Linked DNA regions of Mytilus edulis. Each later gene encodes a partner of the first gene's protein in a complex. Links are inferred from orthologs where the notes say so. Each region holds a gene or a part of one and is shown in the gene's direction. Other genes may lie near its edges. The genes, in order: nuclear RNA export factor 1-like and NTF2-related export protein 2-like.

Region 1 (7,997 bases):
AGTGGAAATATGTAGGCATGTGTTACATATAACAACTAGTATAAGTGTGAATCTTTGACGATCAAACTATTACGACTTCAGTTAATATGGTATAATTGTGTTACTATGGCAACCTCTGTTAAGACATCTGTTATCAATAGCTCAGTCTGACTATCTAGGAATTTTTTCAACTTATGTCATACAAATTTCCAAATTTGGAGTTTGACTGTATTTACTGTAAAGACACCCGGTCACATAATTTAATAACTTTACTTTGTTGACATTTTGCAATCATTGTCATACTGACTCAATACTCAAGTAAAATGTTTTTTAAGACAACAACAAAAAAGGCTTTCTTTCATATATATCTTAACGTGCAAAATTACCCCCCCCCCCCCCAAAAAAAAAATCAACTTTACCGTGACTCAGTGAGTGTGGGGTTGTATATTTACTGAACGATTTGTATGTTGTATTTTGTTGTTCTTTAAAAATTAATAAAACATTGAGAACTAGAAGATAGTTTTCATAGACGTTCACTTTAAACCAAAAGAAGTTTAATGAATTATCTATAATTCTTTTACGCGACATGATCGTGACATTAAACAAAGGAAAGGGCTTCATGGATAAATTGAAGTTGAACAATAATATGAGACTATAACCTAAAGAGTTGCTAGACTGAAATAAACAAATTATACACAAGTCAGAGTTTTTACCATTTTGACATATTGTTTTTAAATGTTAACAACGACGACCGTAAGAGCATACGATACAGTTTTGATTCCATATTGAAATTTTGATGAACATTTGCATATAGGCTATTTTTTGCCTGATTAAATCAAATATGTAATAAAAAAAAATGTATACCTTCATGTATTACTTTTTGAGTAAAATAAGGTCCAAATTTTATATTCGGATTTGTGGACGTATTTATCCTTTCGACAGAAATACATAACCTTTTAGTTTTAAAGGATAAACACAAGCTGTTTTTTGTTAAATCATTTGTAAATTCTGTTTTATATAAATGTCCTTTAATTTTGTGCAATTTGTTTTTCAAATAACTCATATTTATTAAATGTTCACGAATGTAGAAAAAAACGTCTACTTTGGCTGCATATTTATCAAATTTAAAAAAAAATGCACTATTTACGTTTACATGAAAATTGGCACACATAATCTTCTTACGTAATCAAACCAAATGGCATTTTAAAAAAGAGGCGTCCAAGAACTCGTTTACAAGTTAGATAAGATTGAATGATAAAAATCAGTCGAAAACTAAATCTTTTCTCGATAAGTCATAGTTTGACGTCTCGAAAATAACAATTTACGTTAGCAACGTCATCCCCCCCCCCCCCCCCCCCCCCCCTGGTAACTGTATCGTTTGCCCTTAGCTGATTGATGGTTGGTTGTTTAAGTATTGCTTTTAATTATATACTATGTAACAAAATTGTTGATAGAACATAAAAAACAAGATATAGTAAGATTGCCACTGTGAAAAAACTCTACACAAGAGACCAAATGACACATAGATAACAATTAAACTATAGGTAACATTACGGCGTTCAACAATGAACAAAACCCATATGATAGAATGTCTGTATGATTTCATTTTATTTCCTCTAGTGAAAGTCTTATCTGATAACAATAAACCTTATATTACTCTGGAAGCAGTGTCGCACCTCTACTTTCCTTTTAAAGAAAAGGTATTTAGAATACTCAGATAGAGTATGACAAAAAGAGTATGAATCAAATATAATGATATTAACGTGCTTATTAGTAATTTCTGAATTGTGGACGCTATTCTAAATATCTTTTTTAAAATAATAACACATATTATGCATCGTAACATTACCTTCATTTCAATCCTTGTTAAAAAAAAAATTGCCTTGAGAAAATGCTTCGACATTTTTACTGGATGATGCTAAATTTGAATTTGAATACCGACCAGAATCATAAACTCAGAAAGACAGCATTATGAGTTGGATACAAGGCGAAGTTTGCATCTAAACTCATATTACTGTAAACCATTAAAAAAGTTCATGCATAAAAAATCTAATCACTTGATGACGAAACGTATCAAAATACCATGGTGTAGTACTTCGCAAATTAAAAGATATGTTTGCATGATCAAATTCAGAACACTATACATGTTTTAGTACATGGTACCATTATATTTCAGTACCGTTGAGATGCAACCTCCTTGCCAACTATTACTAAAGTGGAATGTTGTATTCTCGAATGATTGTCAGACCGTAGTAATATATAACGCCTTTTTTTCACAACAACATTTTATCTTATAAAAGCTGCTTATCATCTTCCCAGTACTAATATCATCTATATCTGGATATAATCTTCGGAATAATTACCGTTTCAATGGGATCATTTAATTAGTACGCTAGAACGTACAAACAATTTCATTTTTTCCGAATACAATATAGCAATGGAATGTCACCCATGAATCAAAACTCTGCAAACTGAGAGGAGTATCTGACATTCTGGGGAGTAGGATTTTTCTAGATTGGTCTTTACATTCATCTGTTGCTACATGCATATAATGCTTATTTTTCCAGCGGCTTTTGTATACGCCTGTATTTTGTGTTGCACAATATTTATTTTCATCATATCTAAAGTTGTGCAAAACTATTTATTTTCAGTTCTAACAAGTTATTTTCAAAATCCTCACCCCCTGGTAAAATGAATTGATCGTCCCCTCATGTCATACCTTTCTTTCAAGCGAAGAACATCGGAATGGGAATCTGTATCTGTATGGGTAAAGTATGGGTATGCATGGGCTTTATTACTTAGGGGTGCGGATACCGCAAATCATGAGTCCTGAGTGCAGCTATATATATATTGCTTGAAGCTTTTGGTTGACTTGACTGCAGTCACATTGCTATATAAAAGATTGTTCCAGCTAGTCGACAGCAGTTCTGATGAAACATGAGCTTTTAAATTGGTGGTTTGATGGATCTTTACTGTTTGTGTTGATGCGGGATTTAACATCTTTCCACAATTTAGTCTTGGATTTTTTGGGGGTTTGTTTTGGCATCTTTTAGTTTTGGATAATGTAGAAGTCGGCATCAATGATACCTGACCATCAACCACCCTGTAGATAATTATTTACCTGTCATTTTTGTGATGCATCCATCATCTCTTGATTTGTAGTCATTATTGATAAAACGCGCCGCCCTTCTTTTTACAATTTATAGCTGGTCATAATTATGCAGATTGCTCCATATTTCAAAATCTAACTAGGGATTTGCATTTGTTTTCCGTCGTTCTTTTAAGCAATGTTGTAAATCAAAAAATCAAAAATGTTAAAGATAAAGAATATGTTTGTCTTGACATAAAACTGCTTATATTTCTTTTAGATATTTAAAAAATACATGATAGCCGATATAAAAGATCATTATGCCGGGGAAATACTTTACTTTACCTTTGCATTCCATCATCGCAAATCAAACTTGTGACCCTTAAGTGCCATAGCGTTATGGACGATGAACGACTCAAGGCGATTAAAAATCTTTGATCAAAGAGAAACATATAAAGTTAAGGCGTTAGACATGACAGTCTTCATCAGAAAAAAACCTTCAGCATAACTTCGGAATAACATCTCAATGTCATCCGCTGTACACTTGTCTCCTTATGGTGAAATTTTGTAATGTTAGCCTTAGCTTGTATCTTCCGATGAGTTTTATTCACTTATTTGGCTTTATTACTTTTTTTTATCTGAGCGTCACTGCTGAGTCTTATCATGTAGACGAAACGCACGTTTGGTGCATTAAATTATAAGTCTGGTAACTTTGATAACTTTTAGCATGTACTATTGTATTGTTTATTTGTAACGTATATTTCTGCGTTCTAAATGATCTAAGATATAGGAAGATGTGGTATGAGTGCAAATGAGACAACTCTCCATCCAAGTAACAATTTATAAAAGTAAATCATTATAGGTCAAGGTACGGCCTTCAACATGGAGCCTTGACTCACACCAAACAGCAGCTATAAAGGGCCTCAAAAATTACTAGTATATAACCATTAATGAAATATTTTCCATTTCAATTCAATATTTATTGGAAAGAGCACAATAGAGGCGTGATCCAAATACAGACAATAGCATTATTAAAACAACATATAAATGAAATATAGATGCATGTAACAACAAGTTGTAATTTAAGTAAATTCTATGGGTACCATAACATTCTAAGTATATTATATGAATACCATTACATTTTAAACTGATATTGATACCATACACATCCCGATTATTCAAAATTTTCATAATTTTACTTTAATAATCACACAATCACCAGGGGCGGATGCAGGAATTTTCGAAAGGGGGGGTGCTAACCTAGGGCACCCAGGGCAAAGGGGGGGGGGGTGCAAAACATATGTCCTGATACAAATGCATTGATCGGCAAAAATAAAGGGGGGGTGCGCACCCCCGGACCCCCCCCCTTGGATCCGCCACTGATCACCTATAAAAGATAAATGTGTAAATGCATAAACTACTATAAAGGATAATTATTATTTTCTGATGAAACAGTATGGTGGTTTCTCAAATTAAGAGCTTCATTAATGTACATACAATTAGATTTTAGTTCTTTTTCAGACATAGGACTTTTCAAATATATTTTAATAATTCGGATATAAATATATTAGACCATGAATTTTCTCTTTTTGTGAGAGTTTTGTCCACTTCAAAAGCAGCCTTGAGAATTTCACCAGACCTTTCACCAATATCACTGAGACGCACATAGTATTTATACACAAGTTGATAACATTTAATGCTTATGGGTAATGTGACCATTTCGCATCGAACTGCTAGATTGGAAGACTTTCCATGAACCCCAAGTATGTTTTTAAATATGGAGTTTTTTCTAAAATATTTAAGATACGGAATTAAATCCGTCATTGCGTCAAGTTTATTGATTCTACGCATCAATCAATGACGTAAACAGCAAGCACATTTTCTAACCATACGGCAATTTTTTCCTAGGACTGCTAAAAAAGAAACTGAAACAGATTAATTATGAGCCAGTTTAAAGTTACCACAAGTCGTGATGGCAGACGTGTATTTGGAGGTTTTTATTATTATCTAGCTAAATATCTTTGACTTTCAAGGCCAATGGTTTTATAATTATACACGGTTAAAAGAATTTGTGCACATATTTTCAGAAAACATTGTTTGGGCACAGGGGCTTGTTTAGTGGCCTGTGGTTTGGGTTATGCTTATGGTTAGGGACATTATTATATATTTCGATTAAATATGTTAACTTATAGACTGTGTCCATATCGGGGACTTTATATGTATAACGTAACGGTACCCAAATTGCACCGAGTACCCAAATTGCACCTATAATAATTTTAGCAAAACTAGCAGCGAAAATCTTACAAGATTTTCTAGAGACTAAACAATTTGTTTTTTTTATGATTTGATACTAAGCACATCTTTCAACATAGGTAAAACTATTTAGATATGCACAAAACGTTCACAGTATCTATCAACAGATGAAGTATTTACTGAAAAAGCAAAATGTACTGAAACGTCGCGTCATCAAAACGTCATCTTTTTAAAATGAACAAATACAATATGTTACAAGTATCCATTTAAAAAATAATGAAGAGTAAGCTTGGACTAATGTCCAATTGTTCAAAATATTTAAAGAAATTAAACAAAAGCTCTGTTATTAGACTTTTGACTATGTGAATTAAAGCATGGAAGCAATTTGGGTACTCCTCATTTCAGAATCATTGATGGTTTGGAGGTCAGTTTAGACCAATTTTTCTATGATTCCATATGGAATAAAAATCAAATTGGTGTACCTTTATAATAAAGAAAGATAGGGCTACAAAATAAACACAGAATGGACATTTTTGTTTTCATGATAAAAAAACGTAGATGAAAAAACTGTCAAAATAGGTGCAATTTGGGTACCGTCACGTTATATGTAAAAGGTATCATGAAGTGTAGTCATCCATGTAGAGTGTAAAGGGCCTTTAACTTAATTAAAGTACTCAGTAGTGAAATGTACATCTTCGCTAGCCAAGGGTTACGATCCACTCTCGCTCTCTGGAGTGGATCGTAACCCTTGGCTAGCGAAGATGTGAAATGTAGTGCCAGCGTCTATTAGAATAAAAATAATTTACCCCAGAGCTCCAGATAAGCTGCGTATTTGCGTGATCACGCAATACAAATAATTAAAAACCAATGCAATTGCCCATTGCAGGGGATAATATAGTTATCAATGTGCTGATGGATTGTCGTATGATGTAGATATAGTTCTTAAACCCAATTCATCCAAAGGAAAACCCAATTATATGCGAAAACCTTGAGTTCTTCACACTTTTATTCGTTTTCGTATGCGTTATTTACCCTGAGCTGATTACAGTCGTCTGCGTAAATCTATTTTTATAATATTTATAATTTGAAATATCCTTTCGTTCTAAAAATAGAGCGTTGTGCATCAAGTAGTGCCTGTTGGAATTTTCCGTTGCTCAAATGGTACACATGTTTATGAAAACATTTCAATCTTCTTGGCATTTATCCAATTAGCGTTTGTCATGTTGTCATATTCTTTCTGGAATTGCTCAGGATTTATCAAGTTAATGTCCGGTAAAATGAATAAAAGCATGTTTTCATCTTCTTTTTGATAGCTGAGGGAAAGTTATGATGATAACAAGACTCAGCTAGTGTTTTTAGGAAACTGTCATTCAAATGCACGGTCGTGTTTGCGTACCTTAACAATCCGATAAACCGGGGGTTATGTCGAGAACATTCAGATGTAGGTCTACATAATATTTGATATATTTTATCATGTTTATATCAAATCTATTAAAATTGAAAAAAAATCCATTTAACTGGTTAGCATTTTTGGGTATTTGATATTCGGTCCTAGACAACACTATGCTGAATAGAATGTACTCAAAGCAATGGAGGCTGGAAGTGGGACTTCTGATATAACTTTGATATTTTGTTATTTAGACCACGATGACCGATGGACAGACAATGGCAGAGGAGGTCATGGTGGTGGACAAAGATCTTTTGGAAAACGAGGTGGAAGGAAGAATTATGGGGGCTTTAATAGAGGAAGTGGTTACAACAGAGGTGGTATGTTGTCTTTAATTTTAACATTGGTGAAATTTTAATATTCCAAGAATGAAGTTTTATAAGATTTGTTACCCTTATGTACATGTATCAAGACTTCTAATTATGATTTCAAGTTTGTTTTGATTATTTGTATGCCCCACCTACGATAGTAGAGGGGCATTATGTTTTCTGGTCTGTATGTCAATTGGTCCTGCTTCAGGTTAAAGCTTTTGGTCAAGGTAGTTTTTGATGAAGTTGAAGTCCAATCAACTTGAAACTTAGGCCTTAAAAAAAAAGATATGTGTTTCCGATAACATCATTTTAAAAAATAGGGTCGGTAGGTCGGAATTCTTTTTTTTTTTTTGTTTTTTTTTTTTTTTTGACATCGTAAATGAAATCCGGAAAATTATCATGGTTTTTCCAAGTCCAGATCCGTAATTAGTTTCAAAAACCGGAAGTGTGCCATTTGCAATGTTTTTGAAGCACCTGTTGTGCAAATTTCTTGGATTTTAACCTATTTGGAATACCTTTTGACATTAATAAAATGTTTTACTGGCTTTCTATGCAAGAGGAAGCAAGAGAGAAAAAATATTATGTCATCTATCAGAAGCCTGTGTCAAAAACAGGGTCGGTTGATAAATTTTTTTTTTTTTTTTTGGAAGATCCAATAAAAAAGTTAGGGTCGGGGCTAAAAAACAGGGTCGGTCGGGTTACCGGAAACACAGGTCTTTTTTTTCTCGGCCTTAGTACACATAGATATAGGAAGATGTGGTGTGAGTGCCAATGAGACAACTCTCCATCCAAATAACAATTTAAAACACATGTTCCTTATGATATGATCTTTCTAATTTTAATGACAAATAAGAATTTTGACCCCAATTTCACGGTCTACTGAACATAGAAAATGATAGTGCGAGTGGGGCATCTGTGT
Region 2 (8,000 bases), on another chromosome or scaffold:
CAATTTCGTCACTTTAATTTTGAAAGTGTAAAAAAAAAATCGCAATAAAAACTATAAATCTACCTGTCTTCATGTTTTTGACAAGTTTATGACCTCCAGGTAATTAACATTTTCAACAGGTGTTACAAGTTGTGATTACAACTAATCCGCTTATCGCCATCAGATGGGTCACTTATCCGTAATTTATTAATTAACCCCATAATTGAATGACCATCATAATTATTTCCCCAGGAAAATCAGTCGGCATTTCAACAACAAGGAGTATAATTTCGTCATTTAATCAAAAATGTAACAACCATGACAACCCGGACAGTTCGCATTTGAATTTCAATATTTCCCAAACGATCACAATCTGAAGTTAGTTTGTCGTAGATTCGTCATTCGAAGGCATTTAATAATTGTTCATAATTGTAAATTTTTCTTTAATATATTGTTAATTTGTTATCCTTCTGGCCATATCTTTGACAATTTGTTTTACTCAACCATCTCTGTATATTCAATATAGTTAACCAAATAGCTTTTGAGCACTGATGGGTAAAGATTGCTTTCAATATGCAATGTAAAATGCATTTATTTATAAGGCAAGTCATATATGTTTAATTGGAATTATCTTAAAATGTACGTACAACTTCATCAGGAATTTATATTAATTATAGAATAACTAATCGAAGAATTCAAATAGAGAAAAATATTCAACAAGTGACCAAACAACACATTGATTCACGAATGCGTCCAGCGCATGAGTTATAATCAGTGTTGTTCGGTCACGAGTTGAGTATTTTTCGATATTTGAATTCTTTGATTAGTTATTCTTTTTATTACATTGGCAAATGGCTTTTTTATGAAATTAAACTAGAAAATGTAAGGACCTATACCTTTTTCTACACATTCCCAATTTGTTTTGATCAGACATTATCAAAGTCTTGACAACGCCTATTGTTGTATTAAGTCAGAGGAGTGAAATAACCATGTTTATTGCACATGTGAAATTATCGTTTTTTATTTCACTGGTAAATCAATGAAATTCATTGCAACCAATGTAATAATTACATTTATCATGAACCAAATCATATTTTCACTAGATCAAACAAGTTTTAAATTGATTACTAAAACTAAAAGTATATTATTCCATTCTAAACTTGGTCATATTTCTAGTTCTATGTTTTTTTTTCATCTCTGTTTGGTTTTTTCTTTTCTAATTTTGCAAGTATTTACCCCTTCAACATCATTGTCGAATGTATTCACCAGGTCTGCTACAAACTTTACAGCCTCTGGTGTGAGTAGCGTTCTGTAATAGTGTTCATAGTTCACAGGGGGACTACTAACTTCTATATTGGTTAGACCTAGCTACAATTTAAATACAAATAGTCAGGTTACATCAATACTATATCATTACTTCTTAAGGTGGTACCTAACACTACAGGGAGATAACTCAATTATCAGAACGTTTTAATGACATTGTGTTCTTAAGGGAATATTAAGCTTCTCAATGATCAAAATAAGTGTTTGTCAAACTGCAATATAACCAGTGTAATTTTTCTGATTAAATGGTTGGTTCAATTTTTTTGATTTTTTTATATTTTTGTCAAAGGGTCAAGGTAAATACTTTGTCAAAATTTTATGAAAATTAAACGAGCCAAATTAATTTTAGTGAAAGTGTTGGGTACCACCTTAAAATACTAATTGCACACAATAATTTCTGAATTTACAGTATATGACCTTTTAAAGTCTTGTTATGATGGTACAAAATGTACCAAACGCCTTGGTTAACATTAATTTGGCTTGTTTAATTTTCATAAAGTTTTAGCAAATTATTTATTATGTCCCTTTGACAATAATATAAAAGTTTCAAAAACTTGAACCACACACTTGGTTGGAAAAATTTTGTTGGATATAATATATATAGCAGTTTAACAAACACTAATTTTGTTGATTGAGAAGCTTAATAATTCCTAAACTGTAAAACATGTTACAATAGAATATGATTAAAACGTTCAGCTGAATTTACAGAGTTATCTCCCTATATTGTTTAGTACCAACTTAACAAATTTAGAACATCCATAATGTTTTTCACTTCTCTTGAATATCTTAATTAAATACCCAATAAGTAATCAAGCATGTCAAACATAGTCTTATCAAAAGAAAATTTCTTTGAAAATGATCATACTAATGTTTTGTTAATTTTCTCTGTGCAGAATTCTAAGATGATTCTCCTGATTCCTCGTCAGCCATTGTGATGTCTTTTGTAAATTGTATTGTTGGTTTGCAATCCCATTGTTGTATACACAAATGATTTATTGAAGTATCAATTGAGAGTTATTTCTCAGTAAGTCAGTCAGTTTCTTTGTTGAATTAATGAGATGAAACATTGAACTCTAATAAAAAATTATGAGCTACCGGTAACCTAGGAAAAATCATTAAAGGCATGATTTTAAATCTGAAAACTTGAGGTTTTTTTGGGGATTGTAAGAAAAATTTACTTATACAAGTGAATTTTTGAGAAAATTAAGGAGAGATTATTCAAACATTATAATTAACTTATATGTGTATATTTTTTTTTACTTCTTTAAGTAAATAAAAAATACTTCCACAAGTAGTACCACTGACTTGGCCAACAAGGTATCTGGTGTAAGATGATAAGTGGGACATTTTCTATGGAAAAACATTACTAAAATTTAAAGGATTTCTACGAGTCATAAACATGATAAAATTCAGAAACTGTCTAACATCATTAATATCAGACAAATGACCGAATGGCAATTGTCTAAAATCTGTCTAATGACACATGAATGAGAAGTACGAATATTTTACCTTCTGAAGTCCACTCTTCAAATGTAAGCAATCCTGAGATGAATCAAAACTACAAATCTTTGTAGTAATACAGGGTTCTCTCCCTTTCACCAATAAATGATTCTTTATTATTTTCAGTCTGTCCATTTCTGATTTTTAAACCATTTCCTAATGAAGAAACAATAAAAACAAATAATTTTTATATAACAAGAGTGCACGTGCTGAAATGTCTCACCTTCTTTACTAATCATTGATATTATGTTGTTAGTCCTAAATATAAAGCTTTACTATAACTGTCACAGTAACTTAACATTAACAAAGAAAATTAAACATTGACCAATGAACCATGAAAATGAGGTCAAGGTCAGATGAATCATGCCAGGCAGGCATGTTCAGCTAACAATTCTTCCAGACAACAAATATAGTTTAAAAAAAAACAGTCCAAAACACAAAACAATTATCAGTGTGCAATGAACTGTAAAAATAAGGTCAAGCTCAAATAAACCTGCGTGACTGACCATGCCAACATATAAATCATAAAATATTTCCATACACCAAATATAGTTAACCTATTGCATATACAGTATCAGAAAAAAAGACCAAAACTCAAAAACTTAACTTTGACCACTGAACCATGAAAATGAGGTCAAGGTCAGATGACACCTGCCAGCTAGACTTGTACACCTTACAATCATTCCATACACTAAACATAGAAGACCTATTGCATACAGTATACATGGTATAAGAAAAACAGACCAAAAGACAAAAACTTAACTATAACTACAAAGCCATGAAATTGAGGTCAAGGTAAGATGACACCTGCCAGTTGGACATGTACACCTTACAGTCCTTCCATACAATGAATATACTAGACCTATTGCTTATAGTATCTGAGATATGGACTTGACCACGAAAAACTTAACCTTGTTCACCATTTTGTTCACTGATCCATGAAATGTGGTCGATGTCAAGTGAAAACTGTCTGACGGGCATGAGGACCTTGCAAGGTACACACATACCAAATACAGTTAGCCTATTACTTATACATGTAATAAGAGAGAATTTAACATTACAAAAAATATTTAACTTTTTTCTCCAAGTAGTCACTGAACCATGAAAATGAGGTCAAGGACATAAGACAAGTGACTGACGGAAACTTCGTAACATGAGGCATCCATATACAAAGTATGAAGCATCCAAGTCTTCCACCTTCTAAAATATAAAGCTTTTAAGAAGTTAGCTAATGCCGCCGCCGCATCACTATCCCTATGTCGAGCTTTCTGCAACTAAAGACCTAGGCTCAACAAAAAGAAGTAGATGTAGTATGATTGCCAATAGAATAACTATCATGACTATCAGAGTATCCACAAGAGTTTACATGAAGTGGATGAAAGCAATTATAGGCCACTGTACGTACATGCTACATGCAGCCTTCAACAACGAAAAAAATCCCATACTGTATAGTCAACTATAAAAGGCCCGATATGAAATTTTGAAAACAATACAAACAAGAATAATTGTGTCCTAGAACCCTTGTGCTGTGAGCTTTACTACCTTTTTTTTGTTAAAAAAACACCTTTTGTAAAATCATGAAAATAGTAGATTCAAGTTTTTAGGGATCAAATGTTGGAAAAAAATAACTACAGGCAAGGGGTCTTAATTCAAATGACTTAAACCTTCAATGCATTACAAATATACAGTTAAGTCCTTAAGATGATATATTTTTCTGGACAATTTACGGACCATAAATAGTCCACAAGAGTAAAAAATCAGTACATTAGACATGTTATTTGAGCTAACATTGGTTTTGCAGCTATTATACAGTAAGTATATAACCAATTCATTGTAAGGGATTTGCAAAGTGTCAAAACTGAAAATAATTTCATTTGAATTAATTAATGGAAAATAACTGAATTTGCATGTAAAGCTTGATCAGTGACACTGGCAGTTCGGCAATGACCCCCATGTCATATAATTTTTTGTCTTTGGGACAACGAAAAGAAATGCTCTGAGTGAATGACTGAATGACAGTGTAATGCATGCTGTCAGAACAAGTCAATAAATCACCAGGATGCAGTTTTTATTGTCATTTCGGAGAGCATGGGATTTAAAATACACAAATTTACCTATCAAAGTGTCAAGGCCCTGTGAAAAAAATCTCTTCAGTTCTTAACTGGTACCCTGCAGCTACGCAACTGGTACACAAAAGACAAAATATTAATTTTAGAGTCAATCCCGGAAATTTTACAACAGAGGAGGCATGACATCTTCACTGTCTGATACTGTAATATTTATTCCTATAGCATGTTATAGCTGTTATATTAATTTAAATTTATGTAAAGGTTTTTAACCTATAAATTTTCAGTTTCAATATCTCTCAAACATGAAATAGATTATTTTTTGTCTCAATGGGGGTACATGCAATTTTTTCAATACTTCAGATAGGGGAGGGTTGCACTGAAACAATGCTGACCCACACCCACCTCTTCCCCATTCAATAAAAAATAAAATTGAAAGCCGTACGGTGACCTATAGTTGTTAATTGCTGTGTCATTTTGGTCTCTTGTGGAGAGTTGTCTGGTCTGACAACATTTATAAATTATACATCATGTACATTGTAACATTTGCCTGATTTGGAAATTGTGTGCTGAAAAATTAACACCATGATCAATATGATATTGATAATCAACATGATCTGAGACTACTATAATTTTATAGTAGTCTCAGACATCAAACTATATAGATTACTATAAATTCCGAAATTTATTAACGTACGTCTTATTTAAGTGAGGTTCAGAATAATGTGAATAATGCGTCTACTTTATGAGGGTTGTAATGCCCTTGAACATCAAACAGTCATTTCAGCTACCGTTAGCCTCAAATTGGTTAAAATTTTACGGTGATTCATCAAAATATCCTTATCATGATTCTTCAGAGGTCTCAAATAATTATCGTTACTTTCATTTTTGGAAAGAAAAAAAAATTGATTCGTCAAAATCAGTTGAAGTTTTATCGTCTAAAAGAAAGTGTACATTTTATTGTCATACACCAAAAATTACCATTTACGTCATTTGGCAAGAATTTTTACCATTATTCAACATGAAGGTACCCCCATTACCACCCTCACTTTAGTACCGTAATAATAAGAACTTGCATTCTGTTATAAAATACATATAAATTGACTAATTCATGCTGTCCTTTCAATAATTATATGGGGACGGAGTCCCCAATAACAGTAGAAAATTCAATAAAAAAAAAAATACGGGAAAATTTCCCGAATTTTTCATTGTACTAATGAACTCAAAATCGTTCAAATTTTTTTTGTCGTGTTTTGAAATCCCGGACCTGCGCAGAAATGTACAATGTACTTCCTTTTTCCGGTCTCGTTTGTATGAAACTTTGAGTAAAATATATATTTATCAGTCTAGTATAAAATAGGAAGGAACACGCAATACCAATTTCATTTTTAATAATTCCTTGATATGAAAAAACGTTACCTGATGATAGCGTTTCTTTGTTTACATTGCATATGACGTCATAATTTAAATAACGTCACAACTAAATCCCTAACAACAGAACCAAAATCGGAAACGTTACGGTATTTCTGTTTTTTTTTTTTTTAAACAAATATTTAAGTTACAAAAAAATAATTCATACAGACTTCGTCCCCATTTACAGGTAATGCCTGCCTCATATTAATGGGTTTAAACTAGAGACATATATACCACATGTATTTATATCTCTGGTTTTAAGTTCACAGGCGTTTGAAATCTTAGCATTAACAGTGTATAAATATGTCAAACTCGACTATCGATCACAGTAGAGCTTCTCTCAAAGACCAATGGCGGTTAACTTCTCATAAAGGGGGTGGGGGACAGCTCCATTCAAGCTTCAGTGATTTCCTATTTAATCAACCAAATTTTCCCCACAAAAAGGGCCACAGCTTATCATTGTTTTTGCACTGTCAGAGATTTTGCCATCATGAAAAAATACCTTGTGAAGTGAATTGTTCTTTTTAGATTACAGTAATTGTAATAATTTACATAATGTATTGTTGTATTTATTTAGGAGCTCAGCACCAAAGTAGATCAAGCAGCAGAAGCAGGGGAGCAGTTCTCCAAACTGTATTATGAAACCACAGACAAGAAAAGACATGTATGTACCATGTTGTGTACTGGTAACCTAATATATATGTATGTAGGAAGATGTGGTATGAGTGCCAATGTAAAAACTCTCCATCCAAGTCACATTTTGTTAAATTTAACCATTATAAACAACATTCCAATAAAAATATTATCTGTGTTTAAGAAGTGTGTCACTTTACAGGAGTCTAATTTAAGCTATTTTGTGTAGTGGACAAAAATAAATCTCCTAGTCCGGCTCCAACTCTACTGGTCCTGCAAAAATGAATTTCATTTGAGAAACGCAAATTTAAAATGATTTGATTTGAATTTGAATGATTCATGTGATTTTCCCTGCCTTTGGTTTCTTGTGTGCTTTCCTCTCCTTTATTCCTGTAGATTCTTTGTGCTGTTCTGATTGTTCACGAGCGTTGACATGGATTTAACTTAAAATTTGAAGATCCTGTTGCAAAAATACATTTCTTAATTAGGTCTGTCACTGCAAATTTGTCACATGTTATACAATTTATTACATTGCAATCGACAATATAATTTAACTATTCACGATCTTTCTCACAGGATTTTTTATATTTGTTTCCTTTTTGTCAATTTTATAAAAAAAATCTGATCTTCCTTTTGCATGTCACTTATTTTTATTTTGTGTCCGACGGTTTAACTCCTTCCAGAAATTTCCACATTTTATGTTGCTGTGAAGTACTTGCACCCAAGATATTAATTAGCTTTATCAATTGTAATAATTAGAACCCCCAGTCCGGGTAAATGATTTCGCAGGTAAATGTTTTTGTAAACAAATCGAGATAGCAATGCAATCAATGATGTAATCGGCAAATTTCTACTGGTCCCACAGACCACCAGCTAATAAAACCTACTGGTCTGACGCAAATTCTACTGGTCTCAGTATCACCGGACCAGCATCAATTTTGAACCCTGCTTTATACAGTGCACTCAATTGGATTGAACTTAATATCAAGCAACATGGTCAAGTTGTAAGAGAAGTTCTAATAAAGAAATAGAACAACACTTTCATGCCTCTGAAGTGGTTTCCTGAATTTACCTTCATTTAAAGAG

What was found.
Region 2: the proteins of nuclear RNA export factor 1-like (region 1) and NTF2-related export protein 2-like are in contact, whole or in part, in a crystal structure (PDB 6IHJ), measured with the Drosophila melanogaster proteins. The link is inferred for Mytilus edulis from reciprocal best matches to the Drosophila melanogaster genes sbr and Nxt1. Residues at the interface, in NP_524660.1 of Drosophila melanogaster: Leu359, Leu360, Glu361, Thr362, Lys363, Ala364, Ser365, Tyr366, Met404, Leu405, Ser406, Ile407, Ser408, Met409, Pro410, Gln414, Arg426, Asn427, Leu428, Arg429, Arg438, Thr439, Leu442, Tyr444, Thr467, Val468, Asp469, Thr471, Ile472, Met477; in NP_611833.1 of Drosophila melanogaster: Met1, Leu5, Val9, Glu10, Ala13, Asp17, Arg21, Thr43, Ser45, Trp46, Asn47, Gly48, Asn49, Gly50, Ile52, Tyr60, Leu64, Leu71, Asn72, Thr73, Leu74, Asp75, Ala76, Gln77, Pro78, Ile79, Val80, Asp81, Leu91, Met93.

The regions. Positions count from the first base shown.
Region 1 is NC_092346.1:23,919,213-23,927,209, forward strand, and holds the start of nuclear RNA export factor 1-like, read left to right. Parts: upstream 1-4,897; 5' UTR 4,898-5,008; coding exon 5,009-5,060; intron 5,061-6,961; coding exon 6,962-7,087; intron 7,088-7,997. UniProt on the Drosophila melanogaster protein: Mediates the export of the majority of mRNAs from the nucleus to the cytoplasm. In ovarian follicle cells, plays a role in transposable element silencing regulation by enabling the nuclear export of flamenco (flam) transcripts and subsequent piRNA biogenesis.
Region 2 is NC_092351.1:84,636,224-84,644,223, reverse strand, and holds the start of NTF2-related export protein 2-like, read left to right. Parts: upstream 1-4,969; 5' UTR 4,970-5,050; coding exon 5,051-5,074; intron 5,075-6,858; coding exon 6,859-6,945; intron 6,946-8,000. Other genes in the region: malate synthase-like, read right to left, coding at 1,216-1,347, 2,812-2,937.